Caenorhabditis elegans: one gene and its partners. The protein of the gene in region 2 interacts with the protein of the main gene of each other region in a pairwise test. Each region holds a gene or a part of one and is shown on either strand. Other genes may lie near its edges. The genes, in order: scpl-1, zyx-1, lim-8 and uig-1.

The links.
Region 1: the proteins of zyx-1 (region 2) and scpl-1 interact in a two-hybrid assay, tested with the Caenorhabditis elegans proteins (one study listed by BioGRID).
Region 3: the proteins of zyx-1 (region 2) and lim-8 interact in a two-hybrid assay, tested with the Caenorhabditis elegans proteins (one study listed by BioGRID).
Region 4: the proteins of zyx-1 (region 2) and uig-1 interact in a two-hybrid assay, tested with the Caenorhabditis elegans proteins (one study listed by BioGRID).

The regions. Positions count from the first base shown.
Region 1 is NC_003279.8:10,091,478-10,096,305, forward strand, and holds the start of scpl-1 (CTD small phosphatase-like protein 1), read right to left. Parts: upstream 3,004-4,828; 5' UTR 2,947-3,003; coding exon 2,388-2,946; intron 2,301-2,387; coding exon 2,202-2,300; intron 1,302-2,201; exon of another isoform or gene 1,185-1,301; intron 56-1,184; coding exon 1-55. UniProt on the Caenorhabditis elegans protein: Phosphatase which may play a role in the egg laying muscles.
Region 2 is NC_003280.10:13,055,313-13,060,159, forward strand, and holds the start of zyx-1 (Zyxin), read left to right. Parts: upstream 1-1,839; coding exon 1,840-1,884; intron 1,885-3,486; exon of another isoform or gene 3,487-3,507; intron 3,508-3,884; coding exon 3,885-4,169; intron 4,170-4,244; coding exon 4,245-4,328; intron 4,329-4,374; coding exon 4,375-4,715; intron 4,716-4,744; exon of another isoform or gene 4,745-4,847. Other genes in the region: azyx-1 (Alternative N-terminal open reading frame of ZYX-1), read left to right, coding at 1,656-1,696, 1,783-1,884, 3,885-4,169, 4,245-4,317. UniProt on the Caenorhabditis elegans protein: Functions both as a mechanical stabilizer (via LIM domains) of focal adhesions, and as a sensor component for muscle cell damage (via N-terminus).
Region 3 is NC_003281.10:6,801,010-6,805,830, reverse strand, and holds the start of lim-8 (PDZ domain-containing protein), read right to left. Parts: upstream 3,044-4,821; 5' UTR 3,029-3,043; coding exon 3,005-3,028; intron 2,073-3,004; coding exon 2,020-2,072; intron 603-2,019; exon of another isoform or gene 398-602; intron 264-397; exon of another isoform or gene 191-263; intron 170-190; exon of another isoform or gene 140-169; coding exon 1-139.
Region 4 is NC_003283.11:13,289,337-13,293,901, reverse strand, and holds the start of uig-1 (Protein vav), read left to right. Parts: upstream 1-1,509; coding exon 1,510-1,615; intron 1,616-3,185; exon of another isoform or gene 3,186-3,335; intron 3,336-4,565.

The DNA of each region.
Region 1 (4,828 bases), on a different chromosome or scaffold from region 2:
CCATTCTGATGATTGTTGTTTGTACTGTTCGTTCGTTGGCTTGATTGTATCTTTTCTGAAAATTTATGAATATTTTCTCCAATTTTGTTAGAATTTCATTCAATTGCCGAAATTTGGTTACGGTAATTGTTGTTAAAGGTGGAGTACTGAAATCTAAGAAATATTTTTAATTGACTCAAAATTTGCCCCTGATTCCGAATATTTATGTGAAAAAAATATAAATCAAATATAACATCAGATAATTTTTTTGAATTTTTTCACACATTCGTTATTCAGGGGCAATTTGGAGTCAATTAAAAATAATTCCCAGATTTCGGTATTCCACCCTTAAGATGATTTTTTGTGATATCTGATCACTGAGCAGTTGCCTCATGCATGCTCATCGGAAAATCATTAAATTTTATTTATCTCTACACCCACAAAACTTTAAAAAAAAGTTCATGTTCATAAATCATAGTTCTTTGTGAAAGGCGTTGTGCCAGGAATCGAGTGGCACCAGATGTTTCGAAAGGATCCGAAAATCCAACTGTGCGGGGGTTCTGATCATCTTTTTTCGTTGAAATTCGAGATAAGAAAGAAAATGATGATATTTTCTGATGAGCAGCGAGGAAGAAAATGTCTGGGAAAATAATATTCTTTGTTTCAAAGTTGTCAATTTTGACATCGATGATTTGACAAGGACAGATTCTGTCTGGGAAGAGTTCCAAAGTATTGTTTTTGAAATGATTGTTCCTATTTTGCAAAAATGAAAAATACGGCAGAATTCAATTTAAATTCCCGCGCAAACGAGTGACATTTTTCAGGAATTCTTCTGTAAAGAAAACCTAGTAATCGGAAGAAAGAAAATCGCTGAGAAACTTTCCAAACAAACAATTTTAAATAATCATTAACAAATCAATACATTTTTCTATCGTTATATGCGTTATTTTTGAAAGTTCTAAATTTGTTCTTTTGGTATTTCTGAATTTCTGAATATCTTGGATAATTTAAAGCCGTTTTTGGTATTTCAAAATCCCTAATACTAATTTTTAATGCTACTTTTAAAATGTTAAACGAGATTTTTTTCCTTCATTTCTCATATGCAAACATTGAAAGTTCAAAAAGTTGCGGTACTCCCTCCGACCGTGAGCTGCGTATTTATGCATGACACATTGCCTGAGGGGAGATTATTTGCAAATAAATCAAAACCAGCTGCCCTCGCCTTTTTTTCCTTTTTCGCAAAAGTTCAACTCACTTTGCTGTCTATCGACAAGTTTGATAGCCGCGTTCGTAAATCGGAAAATATTGGCGAATTTCGGGGTAAAGGAGAAATTATGAGTTTTTTTTTTGAAATATTGAAATGCACACAAGAATGGGAAATCAGAAGCGTGGGGTGGTTTCCGACTGATGATTGAAGTTTTTGATGGATAAAAATGAAAGAGATGGAAGATTTGGTGTAATAACTGGAACACTACCACTGAAGAGAAAGAGAAATAAAGAAAAAATGAAGATGAAAACACTCATTTCGTTTTCTAGAAAACATAAAAGCGGCGTTATTAATTACTCGAAATTTTGAACTTTTCTATGATTAAGAACATTTTTCAATTGTTAAATAATAGAAGATAGTCTAAAATTATCGAATATGCCTATAAAGTGTTTAAAATTTTGTCTTTTTTTTTGCAAAACTTTCAAATTTTCGCACAAACTGGTTACTGTAACAAGACCAAATTTCCTTTTTTTCTTTAGCTTTTTCTTGTGGAAATTTTCAAAAAAAAATTTTTAACATGTCTTTATATTAAATTTTTCTGGAATTTCAAAAATTTGTCGCTTAAAATAAACAAAACAATTTTTTAAAATTTTTTCAGTCTATTTTGTTATAGGAAAGTGTGAAAAGCATACAGAAATTCCAGGAAATTTTTTTTACAAATAATGTTATTTAAAAAAATTTATTGAGTTACAGTAACCGTTTTTGGTGGCAATTTAACAAATAATTCAGAAATTTGAAAAAAAATTTGCAAAATTGAAGGAAAACTCCCGAAAAAAGATAAATTTTTGTAGTCAAATTGGATCATTTCAGACTACATCCATTTTCTCTTCAGAAATTGAAAATTCATTTTTTTAATTAAATTTTTTTTAGTGAACTCTTGGAGCATTCTACATAACTTAAATAACCCCAAATTTTTAAAAGAATTTTGATAATTTTAAAATGAAAAATCACATACCAATCTCTCTGGGTGGAGTCACACAACAGAAAAGTGTCTGAAAACAGCGTGCCCATCTTGGTTTCCTTCTCGCTGTTGATCGCTTTTTCTCGATTGATGCTGAAACTGATACAAAATATTAATTACAAAAAAAAAAACAATTCAGTTTATTTTTAAATTAACTTTTCACATTCCCGGTTATCTCACCATTGGCTGAAAATGAATTTAACGGTGTACTAGCCGTATCATCATCTTTTCTTGATGTTCCACCCCAAACTACATTTTTTGGGTTTTCTCCTCCACCATCTCGATTCATTTTCCCTCCATTTTTCTCATCTTTTGTAAGTTTTGCACGTGGCATTGCGGGAATATTACGGTAGATTCCAACTGGAGGACTCATCACAGATTCTGGTGTATTCTGTGGAAATGGTGGATATCTAAGACCATTTTGTGGTGATGATGTCGATGGTGTGAATCCATTTATTGTTGACCTTCCCACAGGATTTGGTTTTACAGGTTTCATTTTCCTCTGTGGTGGTGGAAATTGAATATTATGACGACTGTAGTAACACGTTATTCCAGACTTTTCATCTTCCGATTTACTCCAATAGTCCAAACTGTTGGCACCGTTTTTTGGTTGAAGTGGTTGCGATGCGGATCCTTTCCGCACGCCATCTTTCAACATCGGCGGACCAACTGGAGTACGTGGTGGAGGCACAATCGACGAGTAGACGACGGCGGATCGAGTCGATTCAGCGTAGGTCATCCGATGATTATGATGACTGGGGAAGAAGGTGGATGATGGAGGATCGACGAGATATTTCTTGAAATAAGGAAATGGGGTTTTGGAATATGATAAGTTTGATGTTCGAAGAGAAATAGAGATTAATAAGAAAATTGAAGAAGTAGAATATTTGAAACATTACGAAGTGGGCGGAAATCGTTTTTTTTAAATCAATTCGATAATCGACAATTCGAATTTTTTAGAAAAATGATTCAAAAAAATTAATGATCAAAACTTATTAAAAATATGAGGATTTTGATCTCTGGTAATCGGAACTTTTTTCCGATAACTATTGTCAAATTTCAAATTTTCAAAATTTTATTCATTTCCGAATAATAGAATTGCCGCCCAAACTCTAGACATATTGAGAGAAAGAAAAAATAATAAAAATATGAGGAAACAATTTTGTTATTGTTGAAAAGTCCATGGCAAGAATTTATGGGGAAGTGGTTGGCTAATAAAAAAAACAGACAGGTGTGTGTTTTGATGGGAGAGTCTCTGGAGAGAACTAAATCTGTTTTCTTGTCTCACATAAGATACATAGAATGTTTGTTCGTTTCAACGCATAAACGGGGCAAAACCCAAACATATCTAATTTCAATGGTTTTAGAAACATTGACATTCAAGGGGTTTCAGAGGTGAAAAGAGCAGAGAACAAAGAAGAAGAAAAAGAAGAACTAGCTTCTTCAGAAACACAAATTATCTGAGGTATCCCGAGGGCAGAGGTGAAGTGCTTGTTGAAATGAGCACGCAAACTACTCTCTTTCTGTTTCTCTTTTCTCGTATCTTTCCCCTAAATCATCTGCTGCTCCCAGAGCACAGTCTGGTTATTGCAAAGAACGCGGCGCCTTCCGTGCGCGCTGCTGCCAAAATGTGCAAAAGAAGTGCTTGACAAAGAACAAATAAGCATTGCCGTATGCCGTATGCCGCGTGAGGGTAAAGGCGCGACGTGTGTGTATATACCATAAGTAATATAAACTTGCTGCTCACTTCAACGAGTACTTGCTCACCGATTAGTGGCGGATCATGAAGGGCGCGGAAGTCGGCGGCAGGTCTCACATGTTGGCAATGTGCCAATCACGTTGAGCTTTTGAAAAGCAACGCCCAGAGAGCTCAAAAGAGCTGCTACTGAACATAAAAATAGATTCGGGTGCATGAGGTGGACGTCAATCATCATAATAAGAGTTTATATACACGCTTTTAGAAAGAAATAAGGACCACGATGAAAGGAAATGTCGTGGAGCAAAAGAAAGGAGCAGGCGTCACTCAACAAGGTCGCTCTCACGGCGACTTTCTTCACGCTTCAAATGGCTTTTCCTTTGATGGACTCGATTCATGATGGAGCAGGAAATGGGAAAATAAATATTTAGAGAGGTCAAGGGTCTCCAGAAAAATATTCAAAAATACCTTATGGTCTAAAAAGCTATGCCATTGTTTTTCACAAGAATTACATCGCTTCTCTCGGTTACCAAGGAAACCTTTTGAAACGGATTAACGGTAATAGAATTCAGAATATTGTGCCTCGTGTGTACTTTAAAATTAGATATTTAAATATTTTTCCATATTCTATTTCCCTTCGAAAAACATCCAAAATCTGCTCAGAAACGTCTTAAAAGAAATTCAAAAAGCAATAAAACTCACAAGATTTGTTGTTTTGAACGTGTCTGGTGGCCGCCGCAAAACAACAAACACTTTTTATTCCAAAAAAAGAAAGAAACTCTAGTGAATGTATAAGAAATTGGGCGAAAAAATGAAAGAACTTTCATGCTCGACAATGTAATTTCCCTAATTGCTGTATGTTCGGCGGGAAGGCACAGAAAACAATTTATCGGCTGATGATGTTTGACTACGGAAATTGGAGGGA
Region 2 (4,847 bases):
GTTAAAATAAGTCGAAAAATACATAGACTCCTCTTTTCAATGTTTGTACACCAACTGTTTTTTGTTTCAATTTTTGTTTCTCACGAATTCCAGCCAAAAGTTTTTTTTCTTAAAATATTTTTTTTCTGTAGAAAAAAAAAAATATTAGGGAATGATCATGATTGCGCCCACGAAACCGCCCATAAAATTCCTGTGAAAAGAGAAGAAGAGAGGGTTGGGCACAACTATACCATCCATAAAACCACAGACTTTTTTTCGCGTCGGTTTTTTTCTTCTTTCCGCTCTTCCAATGTTTTATCGTTGTTTGCATGGCGTTCTGTGCTTCAAAGATGACAGTTTTTTTTGGGGTTGGAAGACTTTTTTGAATACAAAAATTCTTTGAAGTTAAAAACTTCAAAGTTCTCAAAATTTTAATTTTTTAGAATGGTCTAGAATCACATAAATCGAAGTTAATATTGGCTTTAAAATGGGAAAGATCGGCCACAAAACAATTAATTATAAAAAGGATGAAAAGGGGTCTTTTCATTAACTGTAAAAGGCTATTTTAAGATCATCTCTAGCAATAAAGAAAATATATGTTGATGGCCCAGTTTTCCCGTTTTTTTCTAGGCCAAGCCACAAATGACGGACAGTTTTGGGTTAGAAAGATTAAACTTCAATTTTCGTATAAAAAAAGTGCTCCAGAATAAAATTAGGCAAATTTCGGATTTGAAAAAAAAAATTCAAACCGAATGTGATGTCCTAGAACCCGACAAGGCCCACTTGAAAATATGACGTCACAAAAATATTCGTGGCCGAAAAAATAAGAAAACTCGGCTACGCTACAAACATTTTTTTTCTCGAATTGTATGTAGACGACACCTTATAGATTCAATCTGGAAAACTTTTTGAAAAATTTAATTGATGGCCGAGTTATCTGTTTTCTAGGCCACATCACAAATTTGTGCTTGATCTAAATCTGTGCTTTCAAATAGCAATTTAAAAAAAAAATCTGAAATATAAAACGATTAGGTTGAGCCGAAAGTCATGGCCTAGAACCCGAGAAAAATATACGTGGCCGCGAAAATGAGAAAACTCGGCCGCTAACACACATAGGGTAATTTCCTCGAACTCTAAATGATCTATTTAAGATCAAATTGCTAAAATATAAATAATGAGTTTTAGATTTTCTAGGCCACGCTGTGAACTCTAGGTTTTTGTATAATCTCCAACCATAACTTAAATATTGCCGGTCCCTCTCCCCTATAAATTATCAGCCACCAATTTCCTGTCTGCCACGTGGATTTCACACGAAATTTTTGATATCATCTTCCAATAGCAGATGTTGTTGCTTATCTCTTTTCCTCTTTGTTCATCGCTTATCCCTCGTTTTCGCTTTCCTTTTTTTGTAATCTCCCCCCCCCCCCTCCCATATCCTCTCTATTTTTCCTGCCATCAGTCGAATTTTGTGAGCCAAAGTGTAAAATGGGCTCCTGCCGGGATGAAGCGAGAGAGTCGTAAGGATGTGAAGAGACGCCGACGCGGTTCGCCCGGGGTTCCTGTGGCATGCAGCTCCTCGGGGTCCGTCGGAGCCCCCAAGACTCTAAACATACTAAACACCACACCGAGGCGCGCTCTCCAGACATTCTCTATCCATCCAGGTCGCACATCCTAATATGAGTTACCTCTCACCACTTCCTCATTATCCTAGTCAAAGGTATCGTTTTTTTTTCATTTCTTCATGTTTTTGTTGTGTTAAATTGTTTGCTCTGTGTCCTGACCTCCAACATATGTGTCTTTCAGCTTGGGTCGTGCTCGCTCCTTCAGCACTATTCCAGACTCGGCATCCGCTACTGATCTATGGGACCCCCGCCTCCGCCTCCACCACCCCCTCTACTCCCATCCGTAAGTTGAACTGAAATTGCAAAAGAAAATTGGAAAATGTTCTGAAATTTTTTTAGGCCAAAAGTTTGAAAAAAAATCAATGGCGTGGGAGAGAGGTTTAAAAATTATGTATGTTATCCATTACGGTAGCTCGATAAAACCCCCAAAAGCTCAGGGATTGTCAGAATTTCTTATTTCGATTTGATCTTCAAAAAGTGCGGGAGTTGAGACGCAGACATCTCATCTGATTTCGCAGATCTTGCTGACGTCACAATTTTTCTGAAAAAATTCCCGAATTTTTTGTAGATCACAATTTTTCCGAACAAAAAATTCCCGCATTTTTTGTAGATCACAATTTTTCCGAACAAAAAATCCCGCATTTTTTGTAGATCACAATTTTTCCGAACAAAAAATTCCCGCATTTTTTGTAGATCACAATTTTTCCGAACAAAAAATTCCCGCATTTTTGTAGATCAAACTGTAATGAGACATCCTGACATCACGTGGAAATAGACATTTCAAAATTTAAAATCTTGGCTTTTTGGAGGCAGATGGGTTTAATTATCGTTAATTTATTTCTGAACTGCCGGCTCTTAGAGTCGTTCTGAATTCTATTTCACTTCCCACGCTCTAGACAATACCCTTTCTATTAATTCAAAGCACATTTTGCATATGAAGGTAAACGATTTGCATACGGTAATTTATGTGCTCCTTCTAGCACCCCTGGGCATTTAATTATTCTCATTAATCACTTGAAAAACCATAAATTATTGCTAACCATAATCGTAGTGGCAAATTTTTTTTATCCAGCGGAAATGAGGGTTTTTTCGAAAAATAAAGAAAAAAATGACAGAATACATCCCCAATATACCATACATAACAGTAAAAAAAATTATAAAATTTTTGTAAATTTTTTATGATTTTTTTAAAATTTTGCAAAAATAATAAAAAGGGCCGAATGAAATTTAAATTCCCGCGCAACTGAGTGACGTCATTTTCGACATACCGTATATCTTCTATTAATATGGCCTCCCTATTAGACTTGCACTCCCTATTAGTATTGCCCCTCGGAGACCTTCCGAAAATTAGTATTGCACTCCCTATTAGTCTTGCACTCTCTAATAGTCTTGCGTTAACTTTTTTGTATTGCAAACCCGTCTCGCTAATTTCAGGATTTCAACAACATTTTTGCCTATTTTGCAACAGTTTTCACATCATTTCTACGAGATTGAAGTTTTTGAAATTATATGAAAATCAAATTTTCAGAATTTTTACATATGATTCGAGCTTTTTCAGGAAAAAACTAGTAAGCTCAAAGTCAGAAAATGTTCTGAAAATTAGTATTGCACTCCCTAATAGTCTTGCACTCCCTATTAGTATTGCAAGCGGGAAGACCATCGAAAAATAGTATTGCAGCTATATTAATAGAAGAAATACGGTATTTGTGTTTTCCCGCTATATTAGTCTCCATTTTGGCCAATTTCAAAGTTTAATCCAATTTCAGAGTTTTGGCAATTTTCTTTGCAATTATATAGTTTTCTTTACGGAAAAATTTCTGAAAAATTGGAAAATTAAATATGTTTCAAATTATAAAATAAAGAAAAAAAATAAAGAAAAACCCAATTAGTTTGGGCGTGAATGAAAAATTAAAATTTTTTTTAAATTTTAAACAGTTATAATCGGTATATTAGGACAGTATTCTGTCATTTAAAGCAAAAAATCTACCGACCTTTAATTAAAAAAATTGTTTTCCTCAAATTTGGCAGATTTGGTTAGTTTGAAAAATTTTACAACTTTGAGAGCCTATAACTCAGTTGTCGTTTGCTCTACTCAAAAATTGTCAACTGTCAAAATGTTTTTTAGTTCTTTTTCTACATTTTTTAGTTTGACAATTATTGGTATCTTGAAAAAGAACCAAGATATAGCGTTTCAAAGTAATGTAGTCGGGTGAAACTAAAATATGAAATGTGATATGATCTTATATAACTATTTACTTCCAAAAGTAAGAAATTAACTTCTAGGGAGAGATACTACCATCTCGCAAATGGAAGACAGAGGATGCACCACGACGTAACAACCATCCCGCACCTGCGCCGCCCAAGCCGTCCCGTCCCACAGTGGACGCTTCGGCACTACAGCACGCCGCAGCACGTCTGCGTAAGACCGGCTACAACGAACCGGTTCGAGGTGACGTCGAGAATCTATCCGATGGACGATTGGACCGACCGCATCAACAATTGCCTGACGGAGATCGGACGTATCGCGCGAACCTCCAACAATTGGCTCAGCCGAAAACCAGAGCAGAGGTGAGAGGGTTTTTAGAGAGGTTGCAGCCGACAACTCCCGGGCTGATGCGTCATTAAAATTCTGATAATTTTCAGATTCCTTCTCCGCCCACTTATTCCAACCAACCTCGTCCGCTCGGCGACTTTCATCGAGACCCCAATGCGTTAAGCCAATTCCAGGTACTACATTCCATCGGTCCTCATAAAAAAATCAAAAACTTTCCAGCAATCCCGAGAGGCTCTTCTATCAAGTACTTCCCCAACTTCAAACTATAGCCCAATCAATAAATTCTCATCATCCACTCTAACTCAATACGCAAACAAGTCCCCGTCGCCTCCATCATTTGGTAATAGTAATAGTGAGGCAACTTATGTGTCTCCATATTCTTCTAAACACTCATATCCTACAAACTTCCGAAGCTATCACAAGGACGACGATTATTTTAATAACACGGCAACTACGGCAACCACCACAACATCAAGCAATAGCTTAAACGAGAACAATAATTCGAATAAATATGGCAATAAGGAGACGGTTCTTCAGTGGTCGGAGCCCTACGATCCAAGGTAATTATTTTTTAGTTGTTGGAAAATTAACACTTTATGGTTAGCGCCCGACATTTTATGTATAGCGGCCGACACCTCATAGGTACCAGCCGACACCTCACAGGTATTTGGCCAAGAGGCTGACATTTAACG
Region 3 (4,821 bases), on a different chromosome or scaffold from region 2:
TTGAGCTTTCTGTTGTTGAGCCATTTGTAGTGTGCTTTTCGCAGATTCAGCCATTTCGTCGCCGCCTTTGTTGACGGCGACGAATTGGAAAGGATCCGAGGATTTCTGTCCCGGTCCTCGTAGCATTTTTGCTCCGGGTCTGCAAATTTCATTTACTAAGAAAATATAATTTTATGAAGCCAAAAAGTTTCGCTCCCGGGTGGGCTCGAACCACCAACCTTTCGGTTAACAGCCGAACGCGCTGCCTATTGCGCCACGGAAGCACGGAAAGTTCAGGTCAAAGAGGCCTATATTCGCTGTAGTTAGAATAGAGACGCAGATAGGGTATGTGCAATAGTTAATACACTGATCGAGTTTACAATGAGAGAGACCGCTATTAACTTCAAACCTAAACGCTAGATTATTTTTTAGAAATCGAATAAATTTTAAGAAAAATGAAAGGAAAAGCTTCTGACATGGGACATCTGATGTGAAGGCGTCAGAAGTCAAAACACAGAAAAAAGCGAAAAACAAGTGTCTCTTTTGGTAATTGATGTTTCTTTCCAGCTTTCGCGTCCCTTTTGCCTTACCAATAGCTAATTTCAGAGACCAGAAACCTTTTGCGGTGAAGAAAATCTGGGTTTCAAGAGGAATATAAAGTTATCAGAGAGAATAGAATTCGGGATAACTGTGAGCTTATTAAAAAAAAACATAGTACATTTTGGAAAACTATCGTAAAGTTCAATAGGTAATTCAGTCTTAAAAATAGTTTCGCGATCTATAGATAGCGTCTCAGGGAGAAGTGTTCAGAGAGTTGAGAGCAGCTACTACCGGAACCCGGTAAAACTTATTTTAAGACACATGGTAATTTTCGCAGTATCCGATATCTACTGGGTTATGTTATTTTTCATCGAAAACACAGTTAAATTAATCTAGTAGAGGAACCTGGGAACTGTTGGGTTGCTGTGAAACATCATTTCCACATTGAGACTGAAATATACAGAAAAAGTAGAAACTTGTAGAAACTTGCTCAAAGAGTTCATAAGACTAAAAAAGGGTTGATCAACAAAAAGAAAAACCGTAACAGTGCCCTTGACTCAAAAATCATGCCGAATATCTTCTCTCACTCTCATATATCCGGTCATTTATTGGCGGCTCACATGCTCTCATTCATTTGTTTATTTTCTCTCCATTGGCGAAACGAGACACAGTTAGAGATGGTCACTACGTTCTTTTTCCGAGACATAAGAAAATAATGAAGAGACTGAGAATATGCTACAATATCAAGAGAGTGCGTAATCGCCAATTTTCGCGCTTGCATGGTAAGTACAGAGAGCTTTGAGTACCCTCCTTTTTTGCTCCGACGCTTGGTTTTTTGGAAAGGCTAACGGTTTACACGTACCGGCAAACGCTCAAAGACAAAAGGAATGAAAAATGAACAGTCTAACTAGAACATTTTCTAGTGAATATATAAGAAAAGATTTTTTGTAAAACTGCAAAGGAAGTCCACGCCCAAATGAACTGGTCTAGAATATATGACTATTGTTTTTGTTTTAATAAAAATAAAATCCGTTTCAAAGAATCTTGATACTGTTTTTTCGAATAAAAACTTAAATTATAAATGTCTGAACATGATCCAAAATATATTTTTAACGTTTCAATGTAGTAGGCCCAGCCCAGCCACGGAGAAATGTCCTATTTTGCCTATATGCGTTGTTACTGCAAAGCTTTTGTTGAATTTCTTAATTGAAATGGGTAGTTAACGCTACAATACAGAAATTTTGAGGAATATGCTATGGTTAATGAAAAAGAATCTCAAAGAGAATGAGAAAAAAACAGACTAAGAAACCTGATTTTCAGAATATTAAAACCTATTTGCATACTTTGCCGCTTTCTTATATTACATCTACCCTTAGAACTTTTATAATGACATTGAAAATTCAAATAATTCACCTAATTAATCTTGTCACTCATAATTAAATGAACGATTTACATGATCATAAATGACAAAAAAATTATTGTGGTGAAAGTAAAACTCACCCAAATTCGTCTTCAGGATAATCAGATCCAAGATTTGGTGGATACTTGGCCACCTGAAAAATGTATTGAAATTATTCTGAATTTATGAAAAATAAATACAAAAAGTAAGTAGAAACGACAAGGTTATTGTGGCAGACATAAGTTAGGTAAACACGATAAAGTACATAATGAAGTTAATCACTTAAAATATCATTTTCGAGTATTAGAGGTGAAAGTGGGCGATTAATAACGTATTTTTTACAACTTAAAAGATAAAACTTTAAAACATGTTTTACGAGTATTATGTTATCATCATCTTGATTAAAAAATGATGATAAACTTTAAAATAACTAAATGCTTAACTGAAAAAGGAACGTAGTTTGATTATAAACGCAACTTTTGATTCAAAAATTTCAACTTTTTTATTCATTTCTCTTCCATCCTACTCATTTCAGAAATGAATCATATCACAGAAAAGGAACACTTTAACATATCATTTATGATAAAAATCGATCATAATACCAATCAAACACAAAAAAGTCTCCTGTTATCAGTTAGTTTTTGTGTGAAGACTGTGTGTTAAAAGGGGTGAGTATGTGAGCCCTCTTGAAATGTAAATATTAATATGCCCAACATTCTTGGGCATTTTTGAGGTTTTGGTTTGCGTGCAAGAAAACTAGGATGATATGGGACATTGGACAGTTTTGATTCTTCCTTTTTATAATTTCTAAATTTTTATTTTTTTTCAGTGTGCCAAATAAAATATGTTAATTTCCAAAATAATTTTCCAATAACCCCTTCTCAATCTAACAGTGAGTTTTAATTAACTTTTCTGTACTAAAAAATGTTTTCAGAGCTTTAACTGTTTTTTACAAACTTTTGCCCAGCAAAAATGCAAAGCTAGAATAACTAGAAAACACAGGAATACGTTGAACTATTTTGAAAATGAATTAGCCACAAAATGTTAATAAATATACAATGAAAAATTCAAACACTTTGAAAGTACCTTCACTGCGTAATCATTCTCCATCATCTTTACGACTTTCTGCAAATAATTGAAATGAAACAATAAAAAAGTCAAGTTACAAGAAGAACATCAAAAAAAGTAATCAATGTTTTTTCCAGAGAATCAAAATAGATTATCTGAAATTCAAATAGAACACAAACACGAGTAACAAAAATAGAAAAAGACCTCTGAGCAAACAGAAATAGCGTTTAACTTGTGGGAAATTTGATGACAGTTTACATTTCTTCAGAGAGGAAGAAAAATAGAAATCGACCACACATTTACAGAAAATTGACACCAAGACTTGAGATTTTGAGAAGAACGGAACCTATTACAATGGTCCATAACTTTGTTATCCAAATGTTCAATTAATAAAAAAGGTACCGAGAATTAAAACAAACTGTAAAAAAGTATGTTCAAAAGCGGTAAAGAAATCCACATCCAAAAATTCTCAAATTAATGTCACTACGGAAAGCATAAATTAAGGAAAATAAAATTCAATAAAATCGGTTTTGAAAATTTCGGGAGAAACCAGAATTGAAATGAATTTGACACGATAATTTGATAATCAGAGAACGAGAGTGAATCTGAAGAGAAAGTGGTCAGATCCTTTCGGAACAATATTCAAATTTATTTCTTCTTATTTCTGCGTATCCACAAGAAAAGCATAAAATTAATGTCTGCGTCTCTTCGTCTCGTACGCTCTATCATAAAATATACACAAAAGTCGGTAATATTGAAGAGATGAAAAGGAATGTCGGTCAAAAGATATTATGGATCAGTTATCAGATGGTGGTGATTTGGAGATAGTCTAAAAGCGGCAGAAGCCAGGGAAATTGAAACTTGGACAGGGAAATAAGGGCAAAGAATATAAATCTGAAGTTCGGAGAAGCTTTTAAAGGGAAATAGAAGACATTGAGAATAAAAAAAACCGAATATAATTATATAACAACAGTATCACAGCGCCATAAGAAGCCATGAATTCTGAAATAATGAAAAACAAGCAGTTCATCTCCAAAAATAGTTGATTCTCATAATATTTCCATCTTAAAAATTCCTCTCTAAAAAGAAACAACATGGTAGAATGTAGGGTAGACCCATTAATGGATTACATTTCTGCAGTGGCCCAATAAATTCATGTTTTTAAATTATTTTAATATGGTAGATTGACTTCAATTTGGTAGGCAAGGATGGACATTTGTGGAATGAAAACAAAGTTTTTTAGTTTTAAGAGAAGTATACTGAAACGTGTCTAGATCTGAACTTGTTAAAATAGCGCCTGATTTGATTGATGTTTTTGAAGTATTGAACCCAACGAACAATTGTTTTATGATTAGAACTCCTGGAACATATTCTCCAATGACCTATCAGAACGTACGATTACTGTAGGGAATAGCTTTTTTTTTCACTTTGACATGTAGATATGTAAATGAGAAAAATGAACGCAAAAGAATAGGAAAAAGCCAAAAATGCAGTAATATTACACGAAGGATCAGAAGAAGAAACAAGGTGGCGGAACGGTGTCGTCGTCAGACGTCTAATCCTTCATTCTTTTTCAACTGTGGTTTCTTCATAACGACACGCATATGTCTTCGTTCCGACAACTAGGTATCCATCCTTCTTACTCTTTTCCTTTTTCTTTTTCTTCTCCTCAAGAAAACACATTATGCAAATGGCGACCAGGTCGGTGTTGATTGCCCGAAACAGGTGTCCTGCTGTGTCCTGGGAGAAGGTGAAGAAGACACTCCTGCATCCACAAGAATCCATAATACAGTCATTTGCATTGGCGGAATAACGATCTGCCAATTATTTCTGCG
Region 4 (4,565 bases), on a different chromosome or scaffold from region 2:
TCATATTGCCTAAATGGCTTCGAGGCTAGTGATTTTTGGCGAAATAAAAACCTAATTTTTTTAAATCGTGAGCTCTTTTTGTTTCAACTTTGCAAAAAGTTGGCAATCCCGAAACTAAATTATTTTAAATGGTGAACATGCTACATAATTTTACTACTTTTCTAAAAAAATATATCATTGGTATTCCCCACAAAATTATTTTTTATTGCGTTCATCTATTCAAAAATGGTACTTCTAAAAAAAGGGTTTAACATCAGCCCAAAAAACGTAAAATAAGCTGATAAGCATTATTGACACTTTCCAGCATTGCCCTCATTCATGAACTCTGTCCGTAAGAGTTGTTCATCTATTTGCACATTTCTTATTCAGAATATAGAACTAGTGAATCTTTCCGATAATCCTCCAACCACTTATAAACTGAACCGAAACCGAAACAAGGCAATAAACATTTGGTGAAGATGAGCTTGTTCTTCTTTATTCTGTGGAGACCGTTTAGAGGTGGATAGCTTTTTTTCTAAGAATACAGTTGTTAAAAAACTAGTTTTATAACTTTTGATACAATTATTTTCAATTTTTTAAATAAGGTTTCTACCGTTTTTCTTCTATTACTATTATGCCTATAATACCTTTAAAAAAATAGCTACTTACCTATTTTGAACGGAGGTTTTTTTGTTATTATTATTCTTGTTCGATGATTCCAGTTAATTCATGAAAAGCCAAGAAATTGAATTTTTGGAATTGATAAACTACTAATTTCAGATGAGCAACCAAAAATTTTAAATGCATTGGTCTAGCAATAACGACGGTCTTTGAAAATTATCTTACTATTAGCAATCATATTAATAAAGGAATTGCGGTAATTCAAAAGGGAGCATCTTCCTCCGATTGCTCTTTGGCAACACAGTTTACCTCTCTCGTTTGGTATTAAAACTCCGCACGGGCCGTATTAGGAGTGTAAATACGGGACCAAGTAGTGTGACGAACCCTGCGCACAAGTATCAAGTTGACTCTTCTTTCTTACATTCCTACATTACCACCACCACCACTTTCAATCTTCCGTTTGGTATTCACTGACTTCAACATCTTCTTATTGTGCCAATTTATTTGTTCCTTCGCGTGGTTCAGAAGGTTTCTGAACGCTAGAGCGACGTTTCTTCGGTCAATCCCCCTATAATTACTTGTATTTCCGATGCGATCATATTCCCACAATTTTCTGAATTTCCCATGTTTCATCGGCTTTGAATAGAAACCGAATAGAATTTGACCAGAAAACAAGACGCAAAAAAGTGGAACATTAATGCTATAATTTGATGAAAAACCTTGCTTGTGGAACTTTGTTTCAAGTTTTTACCCTAGGTATCCATTTCTTCGGTTTCAAGTCCAGTTAATAGGATTAAAGCAAGAAATCAAAAGATTTATTTTGAAACTGCCAACTTCCTTTACCGTTCAATCTTTCAATTTTCTTTCGTTTCTTTTACCGATTTAAATCTTACTCTCTCTGAAGGTGCAATGTCGATTGGATTTTCCTGGTTCCGCAGGAGATTCAGCTACTACGAAGATAAGCAACAGTTCTCTGAATGTGCAAATGACGATGAGCCGACTGTTCAATTACAAGGTGTGATTTTTTTTTAACGTAAAATAGTTTTTTATTGTGATTCGATTTTTTTCATATTTGTCAAACTCTCTTTTGTTTTCAATATGTAGTATTCAATTAGAAAAGCAAGCTAAATTTTTTTAAAATGGCTAAAGTTTATCAGATATTAATAATTTCTACTCTCAAAAAACTTAAAAAAAACATTCCCCTAAACTCGACATTTTGAATAAAATTTCGAAAAAAATCCATATAGGAATAAAAATTACTGCCTTCGTGCCTACCAGCTATTTCAAACTTACATACATTGAAGAATAAATACCCAATCCTTGTAAATTTGACCTCAAATGTGACGTAGCTGAGCTTCTGTCTGTTCCATGTTTTGATTCGTAGGGGAGTCGATATTCAACGGGTCATGAAAAATTATAAATTTTATTTTATTTTTCATAACATTTTTATGTTTCAGATTTTATCTAGGTAAATTTAGGAAGAACATATCGTACTGAGTAAACCATTTGAATATTTTCATGAGCATGTTTTGAAGTTTTTCAAACGAAATGCAAAAATCACCTGCAAAACTTTTACCAACTCTTTTCCCATTTTCCAAGATCTTCCGAACTTTGAGACCCACTCATTTAAAGTCCTCACCAAACATCGGTATTACAAGACCAATTTTCGCATCTCCCGATTAAAACTTTAGAAATACATACAAAAAAAGAAACTTTCAATTTCCAAGTCCGATCATCAAGGCACATATTGTTTTGTTTGTTTTACATCCTCTTAACCTGGCTCTCGTGTAACGTGTCGATGTTTACTACAGTTTCCTTTTTTTCTTTAGTTGAGATGACACACATCGAATCATTTGCTTTTCTGATTTTCACCTCTTTTTGATCGAACCATCGCAGTTTTTATTTTATTTTTTGCCCTCTCTCAATTATTATTTACTAAAGAGAAATTGGAACGTGAGATTGTTTAGAAAAAAAAACTGTTTGATTTTATTGAGAAGCTTGTTTGATATGTTGGAAGGAACCTCAAGTGTTCATAAGATTTAGTAGTTGATGAGAACTTGAGGAAATGAGATATATAGAGAGAAGGTGGAGGAAAAGTTTACAAATTATCATTTTGTACGTGTTCGTGTTGTTACAATTCAATTTCATTTCTCATAATCATATCCTTCTCGCTTGTTGCAAAATCCGCATGACCTAATACTAAATCCAATTTTAGGAAACATAACCTCATCCTTTGTTTAGTTTTCTCTTCCTTCCTAAATGTCAATATTTTATTCACAACCTAGCGATTTTGTTTAGCAAGGCATTTTGGGAGCTTGGAAAATTTAGTTTCTCTAAATTCTACAGTCCTCCAACATTCATGTTAATAGTCTTAATTTAACAAAACACTATATCCCAAATTTTATTGTTACACTCATTTAAGTTTTTTTTTCCCATTTTATAAATTTTTTCATTCCATTTTTTCTGAAAACATACAAAATCTAAACAATTATTTATTTCAATTTAGTCAAGTCATCATTTAAACCTACATATACATTTAACTCGAAATTCCAAAATTTCCGAATTTATATAATAAATCCAAATAGTTCACATCATCATAATAATTCAACAAAAGTTGACCTCAAACGCCACCCATGCGCATTTTCATGGATGCCATGCGTATGGTTATTATTATTATGATTTTTATTATGTCCATCATCACACTCCGAAACTCTTTTGATGCCCTTCCGCAGATTCACGCGCCTATTTAAATGTTGACGCGGCAACGGTTTTATTATTGTTTCGATTAGGAAAATTCTTATGTAATCAGCCGATTGCGTAGAATATGAACATTTTGCATTGCATTGTTTTTGTTTGGTTTCAAGAATTTTCTGAAGCATAGGTTACATCATCGTGTAATTAGTTGAAATTCAAAATACAAGGTTTTCCATCACCAAATTTTGAAGACAAAAAGTGCACCACAAAATAATTCTGCCAGATCATAGTCAGTAGCTATAGTTTATAAATTGTAAATTCCATAAAAAATTGACCCAAAGTTACATTTTCTTCATTGTATAGACGAAAAACAAGTGTAAATGAGTTCGTAATCTAAACAAATTGAGTGTAGCAAAGTACTTGGACAACGACTACAACCTCCCATCCAGAAAATGTCATTTGTCAGTTTTCGATGGCATCTTTCCCCCCCCCTCCATTTTCCTTCTTCTCTCAGAATCCTAGAATACCCATCAATGTCTTTTAGTCAAGATATTTCTCGGCCCATTTTCTTGAATGGAATCATGCCGCATTTTCTCAATGCTTTTTTGTTCGTCCTTTCCCTCCCTTCATTCAATGCTCAAAGTGTCAAATATTAGAAGCCACAATTACACCACAATGTGTGTGCGCGGAAAAGTGTGGAGGAGAACATCTGCGACTAATGTTATTCAATAATCTCTCTTCTAATACAAAATATTTGAATATTTGTTATCTGCTGGGTGGCAATGGCGGCGGCTCCGGTGAAAAGCCGGCACTCGAGAATTGTTTGGAGATAAACGATATTCACATTTTCAAAAAATAATTGTTGATTATATTTGATTTCGAATTCAAACCTGCCACTTCAATTCTGTTGCTCCTTGAATCTTTTTCAAGCCAAAAATTTCAATTTGTACATCACCAAATGTTTGATAACACCAAAGACATCCAAGTTGTTAATAACTGAACTTTGTTATTTTGCACAAAATTTCAGAAGAAATATTTTGATTATTTTTTGATACTTTTTGAAGTGCTAGAATCAACATTGAATTTGAGCTAGACAAATGACCAAACCATCAAATCTCTTAGAAAATAAAAAAGTGAAGTCGTATTGACCATATAAACAGTGAACTTATTATTGCTTTGCACGACATTTAAGCACAAATATTTTTGAAATTATATTGTTGATTGCTCAATATATCACCAAAATATCTATATATCCTTGCCACTGAGAATTA